Linked DNA regions of Saccharomyces cerevisiae S288C. Each later gene encodes a partner of the first gene's protein in a complex. Each region holds a gene or a part of one and is shown on either strand. Other genes may lie near its edges.

Region 1 (3,211 bases):
AAAATAATTGGGATCAGCTTCATGGCAGAAATTTAGGGATGCTCGCTTGAGGCTATTACGTCTGGGTTATAACAAAATATTGTGGGATATTACAGGAGAATAGTTTATTTATATGCCTGAACCCGGTGTTATTTGTAGTATTTATGGTTTATATTATGACTCTTTTTACATGTAACGGTCATAGTAAAATCTATTCTGATTTGCATCTTATCATCTCCTTCTTTTTTCCAATGGAATTTGAGTCATTGCTGCAAGGCCCCTTTGCTTTGCGGGTGAGAGGAAAAAAAAGATGAAGTATTATGTGCAGTAAGTAGAAGAAAATACTAACTGAGCAATATTCGAATACATATAACTTTATTTACAGGAATAACGAACGAGAGTTGTGCTTCTAATGCTGGGCGGCGTTGTATGCAAAATATATAACGTTTCTTCTGGCATGTGTCAAAAAACTCAGAGCACGCACGCTTCCGTTCGAAATTGAGGTAACAAGATGCACTAAGACTATCTCTTGACCCATGTTGGCATCTTTCTTGCCTTCTTTTTTCCTGGCTTCTTTCTTTCGACGTGCCTGTAATCTCTTGTTAAGACGCCAGCTTTATGTAGTCTGGATTTTAATAATGGATTGAACACAACCAAAGCTTTCGCAATGGCGTGCATGATTGATTCAGCCTGACCCGTAGGTCCGCCTCCAGACGTTGTCGCAAAAATATTGTACTTTCCAACTGATTCGATCACTTGAAGTGGATACATGATTGATTCTCTGTCTTTCATCTTAAGGAAGTAATCATTCAATTGTCGACCATTAACTAATATCTCACCTGTACCTCTAACAACGAATACTTTCGCAGTGGAACTTTTCCTTTTTCCAACGGCTATACTTCTTCCAAACTCATCTAAAGTTTTGATTTTGATATTATTGGAAAGCATTGAACTTTTTTTATAATATTGGGATAGTTCGGATGTGATTTCATCATTAGTAAGTTGAGGATCAATGTTGTGAAGTTTATTCAACATATACAGTAGCTGAGTATATTGCGTAGGCTTTAATTTCGTACCACCGCCGATTAAAGCGTACTCATCGAAAGAAATCCAAGGAGCTTTTGTTTGTTGTGCTTCATTGTTGTTCTGAGATGGCAGTTTTATGTATTTCCTTAGAAGTCTTTCGAGTCGATTAATACGATCTTCATGGTTAGGATTCGCCGAATAAAATGTGGCTAGCTTTGGGACGATCCTTCTGGGCAATTCATCCTCGGTTTTTTGATAAATAGTCCTAAAAGACATTCTCATAGGGGCAGGAGCCAGAGCTGCCCTTCGAAACAAAGAAAGCCTTGAAAACATTCCGCTTGGCTCAAACTCTGTCCACAACGAGTAAATTTTAGCTAATCAATTTAACCAATTTCTACTCCTCCTGGTTTCAGTTTCCAGTCGACATTATTAAATTTCTTTTCCGTAAATGGCCTATTTCAGTTTGTCTTACGCACGCAGTTGCTAGTTTTAAATATATCATTTTATACGTAAAGTTCATCTATATATCACATTATATGTCTCGTAAAACAATGGATTACAAAGAATTAGATATTGAAACGTTTGTATAGGTTGTTCTTGTAAGGCAAAATACCAAATGTCCACCGGTTCTCGCAAAGTACAGAATCACTCGCTATTTACTGAAGTTCAGAAATGGAGTAATTCTCATTGTTACAAATAAATCGTAAAAAGTCAATATCTACAAAATAGCTTATATAAAAAGTAAAAATATATTCATCAAATTCGTTACAAAAGATCATTTAGAAGTCTCAACAACATATCTACCAACAATTTCACCCTTCTCCATCTTTGCAAAAATTTCAGGAACATCCGATAGGCCAGCTAAGTGGATCGGAGATTTGATCAAACCTCTGGCGAAGAAATCTAAAGCCTCCCTTGTATCAGCTCTATTTCCAACACAAGATCCAACGATGGAGATTGATTTTACAACTTGATTGAAAACATCGGAATTGCAGTAAGCATGAGCTGGCATACCAACCAGGACGACAGTACCATTGGGCCTACAATACCTCGTAGAAGCCTCGATAGCTGCTTCAGAAACAGACACATTAATAACTCCATGAGAACCGCCATTAGTGGCCTTTATTATAGCACCAACAATGTCTTTTTCTTCCGTGAAATCGATGAATATTTCTCCGCCTAATTGTTCAAATAACTTTCGCTTGGCATTACCACCATCGATACCAATGACCCTGTAACCCATAGCAAGGGCGTATTGGATTGCCAGAGAACCCAAGCCACCGCATGCACCGGATATAGTGACCCATTGGCCTGGTATCACATTGGCTCTTTTCAACGCCTTATAAACAGTGATACCTGCACACAAGATTGGGGCAACTTCAGCAAGATTGACGTTTGGTGGAATATGGGCAGCTTGAACGGCATCGGCAGTTGCGTATTCTTGAAAAGTACCATCATGTGTGAAGCCAGTACCATCCAAATAAGGACATTGAGATTCATTACCTACTTCACAATATTCACAGGACATGCAAGTCCCATTCAACCATTTTATACCTGCAAAATCACCGACTTTCCAGCCCTTAACGTTAGATCCCAACTTAACAACAACACCAGCACCTTCGTGACCACCGATTAATGGAAATTTCAATTGAAATGGCCAATCACCGTGCCACGCGTGCAAGTCACTATGACAAACACCAGAATATTTAACGTGGACTAAAATTTCGTTAGGCTTAGGTTCCGGAACTGTGACGTCTTTATATTCCAATTTTCCATCTGTCTCATAAAAGACAATAGCCTTTTGTTTTTCAGGAATGACTTGCGAAGGCATGATGCTTTGATTTTGTAGATATGTAGTTAAATAATTTTCTTAGGTATCTTCCAATCAGAGACATTGTGAGACAGTAAAGCAGTAGTTTGCGCTAGAAATATCTTGTAGTCCCTCTTTTATATTCGTAGTATGTTATATAGATTACAATCTAGACAATACGAAGGAACGATCCCGCGTCAGCAGATGTCACAATTTGATTATTTCATTGTCACATGCTTTTTGACTCATCCTTCCGCGAAAGGAGAACTTTTTACAATGCCGCCGGCTCTGTTAGCGTACCCTTCTACAAGCAGATAGCAGAACAAACACATGATATATTCAAAAGGTGCAATGTCAGAGAACATATATTGCGCCCCTGTCCTGTAGACATCAGTC
Region 2 (2,590 bases), on another chromosome or scaffold:
ACCATTACGAAGGGGGTGGGGTTAGTATTTTTGTATTTACAGATATTGAGATATCATACATAAGAAAAAAATTATAATAACGGTAGAAAACGCATATATTTATAAGATGAAAGTTGGGCATGGCCTCCCGATAATCATTGTCTCTTGATTGTATGGTACCTTTTACCTCTGAACCCGGCAATATACATGTTAAATTGATAAACTTCTTGAGGATTCATGTCATTTAATTCCCACTTCGTACTTCCAAATACGTTTCTGACGGGCTCCATTAAGACATCCATTTCCTTACCGTATTTGGATTTGACAAGATTTATGTCGTCCGTTAGGTCTTTCTTATTGAAACCCGTTGTGAAGATAGCACATTTTGTTTCCAGTAATGCCTTCATAGTTTCACCCATCCATGAACCGTGAGATTCTGGAGATGCGTAGCCTGGATGGAAAGTAAAAAAGACATCCATGTATGGATCGTATGGGAAAAAATCTTGAGCCTCATGGAATACTTCGAAAAAGTTTGTACGATAAATGAATTTCAGAGTCTCGTCTACTCTTTGTACTACCGGCGTAGTAGACTTGACGTACTCCTGTTTATCCCTTTTATACAGGCATTCGGGTCCAATGAAATGTATTTCGAAACTCTGCTCTGGGAAAAGAAACTGGAGCTGTTTCCAAACGTGGCCCGGCAATTGAGCTTCAGCACGTGCACCTAGGATGAAAATTCTCATAGCACGGTTCTTAGTTGTGGTTGGTAAAGATCTATTCTCCAACGGATATAAAGTATACCTGAGAGCAGCCAGAGATTTTAGACCTTCTAAGGTGATAGGCCCCTTTGGGTTCAATGAATACGGGGAAAATTTGTGCAGCAAAGACCCAATCGTAATTGGATAGCTTAGCATCTTTGTGACTGCGGCTAATTGGAACTCTGTATCCATGGAATAGAATGATCTTGTGTAGAAAAACAAATCCCAGTTTGTTAGGTTAACGGCCTTGTCGTAGCCTTGCTGTTGGGGAAAATCAAACTCCGGGAAGGGTCTACCGCTTCTTAAGTCATGCTCATAAATATTAACTTTTTTCAGGATTTCATATTTTTTAGAATCGTGATATGCTTTATCCATCTCCCAAGCCTCTCGTGAGTGATGAGTCGGAATTCCTGACAGAGGACAAGTGTAGTTAATATCTTTGCCGGTAACAGGGCAGTGTGCTAGCGTTCTAATCTTGGCGGCCCTTTCACGCAAGTCCACTGAGGGAGACTGATCCCATGGATGGAATCTGTTCTCCGGAGTAGGATCTTCTGGAGAGGGAGGAGGATCCAATCCAAGGGCGTTCCTAACGAACCCCATGAGGTGACGACGTGTTTGGTGAGAGACAACTAGCCTGTTGTGTGGCGACTTCCTTAGCAGATGGAAATATAGCTGAGTAGCACCCGAAGGAGCATATAGCACGGTCATAGTTCTGGAAGTACAAGTTTGCCAAACTACTTTAAGTCCACCTTCGCAATATCTACAGTGTTCTGCGCTTATAAAGTGTAAAAAAACTACAACCAAAGGCCCGCCCTTAGTAGTTGACCAAATATCTACTATTGTCTCTTGTCAGACTCCTTTGGATTATTTTCTTCGAGCCGCTTTTTCGTAGCGCATGATAAAAAGAGCCCTTTCCCCATACTGCACACTTAAGTGAATGCCAAATATAATATCAAGAGCGAAAGGCGGTTGAGTTCCAGCCAAGACGAGCACACACGACACCAGAACGAGATAAACATGCTAGGAAGGGCATTGCGACCTGGGTGGCTGGGCATTACTAGGACGGTGGTTAAGAAACCAAGTTGCGGGTCCTACTTTAACAGAACCTTTCAAACAGCAATTAACACTACAATGCCTCCCATGCAAGAGGGCATGCTGAGTACAATGATGATGATGACGGCTACGGCAACAAGGATCACTGGCACAGTCAGTGAGCCATTAAACGGTTCAAATATAGTGATGCAACTCGATTCAGTGATGAGAAAGAGGAAAAAAAAGATGAAGAAACACAAACTGCGGAAAAGAAGAAAGAGGGAGAAGGCAGAAAGAAGAAAGCTATCTCAGGGTAGATAATAGGGCTGTAAAAACCTCTCACATGTTTTTCTCTGCTGTTTTTCCTTCCCTATTCTTCATATTTTGATATTATTTCATGTATATATTATGTTTGTATTTAGACTTTTTTTTTTATACGTTATACTATGCTAAGAAAACTCTTTACCAAGAAGTAAAGAACCCAGATCGCGATAATAGAAAGCACCAGCAGCATGACCGTGTGGAGTGCTCTTCTAGTAGCAGAATCCTTGTTGAACATCCATTCTTCGTACAAGTACGTAATACACTTGAAGCTGAACTTGCCCATTAACTCGCGACGATTCAACTCTCCAATTTCTGCAACGATGTTGAAGTTCCAATCAAAAATGCCTTCTGCGACGCTAATGATCTGCAACTTTTGTGCTTCGGTCAATTCCGTCCTGGTGGCCAGCTCATAGTTCTTCTTGTATTCCCATTTCAAGCGTGTTTCTTCAGTGGGACCCAGATCGCTGAAGGTGAAGAAGTTTGTGCCCTTTTTGACC
Region 3 (2,653 bases), on another chromosome or scaffold:
TTGTATACAAACTCTCTGACCAGAAGTATCGGTTACACACATCCCTGAATGTCCAACATTTCAGGTGGAATTCGAAGAAGAATACAAACAGAAAAAGGACACTTTCCTTTAGCAAAGCTTACTTACCAAGAACAAATATACTACCGATTTTTGTAGCCGATGGACTAAAAAATAGATTCTCAGGCCCGCTACCTGGTAAGTCCTTGGAAAGCTTCCAGAAACTAAATTTATTGAGCGATAACAATATTAAGCGGTATGCAGTACCAGGAAACAAAGCAGTGAACACACTTTTATGGCAAGAGCAATACTCATAACGGGCCGCAATATTAGTACAAAATTGTTCATCATATAGTTAAAAAATATAATTAAACTTACTTATAAATTCAGTATAACCATTTAATCTACTACTTTTTGCCCCTCTTCTTCACCTATTTTATTTACAAGTACGAAATCTTTTCGGTCCCAAGAACCAGCGTAATTATAGGATTGCCATCATCTTTTTACTTCTTTTCCAAATGTTTTTTAAAATCGGGGCTATCCAATAGTTCCAATACTTTTTGTCCGACAGCACTAGTTTGAGCTTTATCATCGTTTCTCAGAGAATACAATTCATCGATATTGCTTAGTGATTTTTCGAGGCCATTGGCGTCCGAACCCAAGTCCAGCGATATTTCGGACCTTTGAAAGAAGTTACATTTCATTCCGACGCCTGCCATAGAGTGCTTCGTAATGTAAGCTATCAACATCTGTAGCACTTCGGGGTTCGTATCCCAGGCCCTAATGAGCCTCTTATGTGTATGTCTTTCAAAATTCTCTTTGGATTTAGCGTGCACGAAAGGTGATTTTATTACAGTCCACCTTTCTCTTCTCGTGGGCAAAGGTTTAGGACCTGTCAATGGGATACCCAAATAGTAACCTGTTCTAAGTATGAAGTCTGAATAAAAATCGAGGTTTTCATTGTCATACGATCTTAACTGAATGTCTGCAACTAAATCACCATATTTGATAGGTAACTTTAAAGGAGCATAGTAGACTGCCTCTACATTTACAGGATATGGGCGCGTCGACTGTGTTCTGATAAATGATCTTAATGCAATGGTATTTCTAAGCATTGGCCAATGTTTTTCCCCCTTTTCTGATTTTGCACGGTTCGCATAATTCTAATTTGTACCAAATAGTTTCATTTCATGCCCTTTCTTGCATTTTTTCCTTTTCAAAAGAAAATAGATGTACAGGTATTACCCGCCTGGTACATAGTTTGCTAACATTCTTGCCCAATCTCTCTGCTGTTAATAAAGGATGTGTGGATACATGACTAATTTCCGGATTAAACAGTGACGATAAGAAACGGTATGGCAAGAGTCAGAATTTGATAAGACTTCAGTAATATTGATTATCGGTCGAACTAAGCTACCCTCTTGGTTAAATTCTAATGACTACCAGTGTGGTCAATATTTTAGGGTTATCGGTGAACGATAACAAAATCCGTAATTGTTTCCTACGCTGGTTATTACTAAGTAGCCACTCGGTGGCTATCTCTAGCCGTTCATCAATCATGTCAAAAGTACAATCACTGAGCTTATTAAGTCATCCGCACGTGGAACTCACACAAGCCCCGAATTTTGTCAGCCATTCCGTGGAAAATCCTTTATCTCGTCACTCTTGTACGGAAGTTGCACCTTTAGCCCCACTCCCAGATCTTCAATCACAGAGGCAATGAGGGTGGCTGTGCAATGTAAACTTTCTTATCGCTTCCTGTTATGATTGATTACCATGCGCGGTAGAAGGATTGAATGAGGGGTGTGGGTGTGATAATTCATGTACGGACCCTTTCCTCCCAGAAGCTTCTGCACGAAGTGGTTACATTGTGAGTACAGGGTCTTAAACATCGCCGTGCGGCGTCATTTTGCGGGGCTCATCATTTATTTCCTACTTCTATGACGTTTGTTAGGGCAGGGATGTAGATTTTGGTCATATACTTTCACCTGACAGAAGAAAAAACAAGGTCTTAGAGCAGTATTCCCGAATTATTGCCTCTTTCCTTGGTGGGTGCGGGTTAATATTAGATGAACGGTGGGTTGTGGTCAAACCCGGGGTAGGTTTTAAAATGTCATGCGTTTTCGTCATTTACATAGATATATACAGGGAAAATATATATATATATATATATATATATATATACCTAAGGGAAACAATTTGAATAGATAAAAGGTCTTTTCCTCTTATTCCGTTCTTTCTTTTTAGAGTACTATTAATTTCTACTATTTCTCCTATCTTTCTTTTCTCATTAGTAATAGTCTAATCATTTATATTCTAATATTAACTTTAATAAAGCAGATATCTTCATCAAGTGAACTGTTCACACTTAATTCACATTTATTTGAGGCAACAATACGTATATTTACTAATTAAAGAAAAAACTTCGTACACAGAATTGAAAATTTTCGATGGGCGAAGGAACTACTAAGGAAAACAATAATGCAGAATTCAATGCTTATCACACGCTGACTGCAGAAGAAGCCGCTGAATTCATAGGCACAAGTCTAACTGAAGGTTTGACCCAAGATGAGTTCGTCCACAGATTGAAAACAGTGGGTGAGAACACATTGGGTGATGACACTAAAATTGATTACAAGGCAATGGTCCTCCATCA

The links. The genes of interacting proteins can lie anywhere in the genome.
Region 2: MRPS9 (region 1) and QRI5 share a complex: the UniProt entries of both Saccharomyces cerevisiae proteins name them as parts of the mitochondrial small ribosomal subunit.
Region 3: MRPS9 (region 1) and RSM10 share a complex: the UniProt entries of both Saccharomyces cerevisiae proteins name them as parts of the mitochondrial small ribosomal subunit.

What each region holds. Positions count from the first base shown.
Region 1 is NC_001134.8:533,387-536,597, reverse strand, and holds MRPS9 (mitochondrial 37S ribosomal protein uS9m MRPS9), read right to left. Parts: upstream 1,339-3,211; coding exon 502-1,338; downstream 1-501. Other genes in the region: RTC2 (cationic amino acid transporter), read right to left, coding at 1-23; alcohol dehydrogenase ADH5, read right to left, coding at 1,781-2,836; YBR144C (uncharacterized protein), read left to right, coding at 3,049-3,211. UniProt on the Saccharomyces cerevisiae protein: Component of the mitochondrial ribosome (mitoribosome), a dedicated translation machinery responsible for the synthesis of mitochondrial genome-encoded proteins, including at least some of the essential transmembrane subunits of the mitochondrial respiratory chain.
Region 2 is NC_001144.5:550,516-553,105, forward strand, and holds QRI5 (mitochondrial 37S ribosomal protein mS38 QRI5), read left to right. Parts: upstream 1-1,754; coding exon 1,755-2,090; downstream 2,091-2,590. Other genes in the region: MSS51 (Mss51p), read right to left, coding at 135-1,445; HMX1 (Hmx1p), read right to left, coding at 2,209-2,590. UniProt on the Saccharomyces cerevisiae protein: Component of the mitochondrial ribosome (mitoribosome), a dedicated translation machinery responsible for the synthesis of mitochondrial genome-encoded proteins, including at least some of the essential transmembrane subunits of the mitochondrial respiratory chain.
Region 3 is NC_001136.10:538,262-540,914, reverse strand, and holds RSM10 (mitochondrial 37S ribosomal protein uS10m RSM10), read right to left. Parts: upstream 1,113-2,653; coding exon 501-1,112; downstream 1-500. Other genes in the region: YDR042C (uncharacterized protein), read left to right, coding at 1-314; Na(+)/Li(+)-exporting P-type ATPase ENA1, read left to right, coding at 2,448-2,653. UniProt on the Saccharomyces cerevisiae protein: Component of the mitochondrial ribosome (mitoribosome), a dedicated translation machinery responsible for the synthesis of mitochondrial genome-encoded proteins, including at least some of the essential transmembrane subunits of the mitochondrial respiratory chain.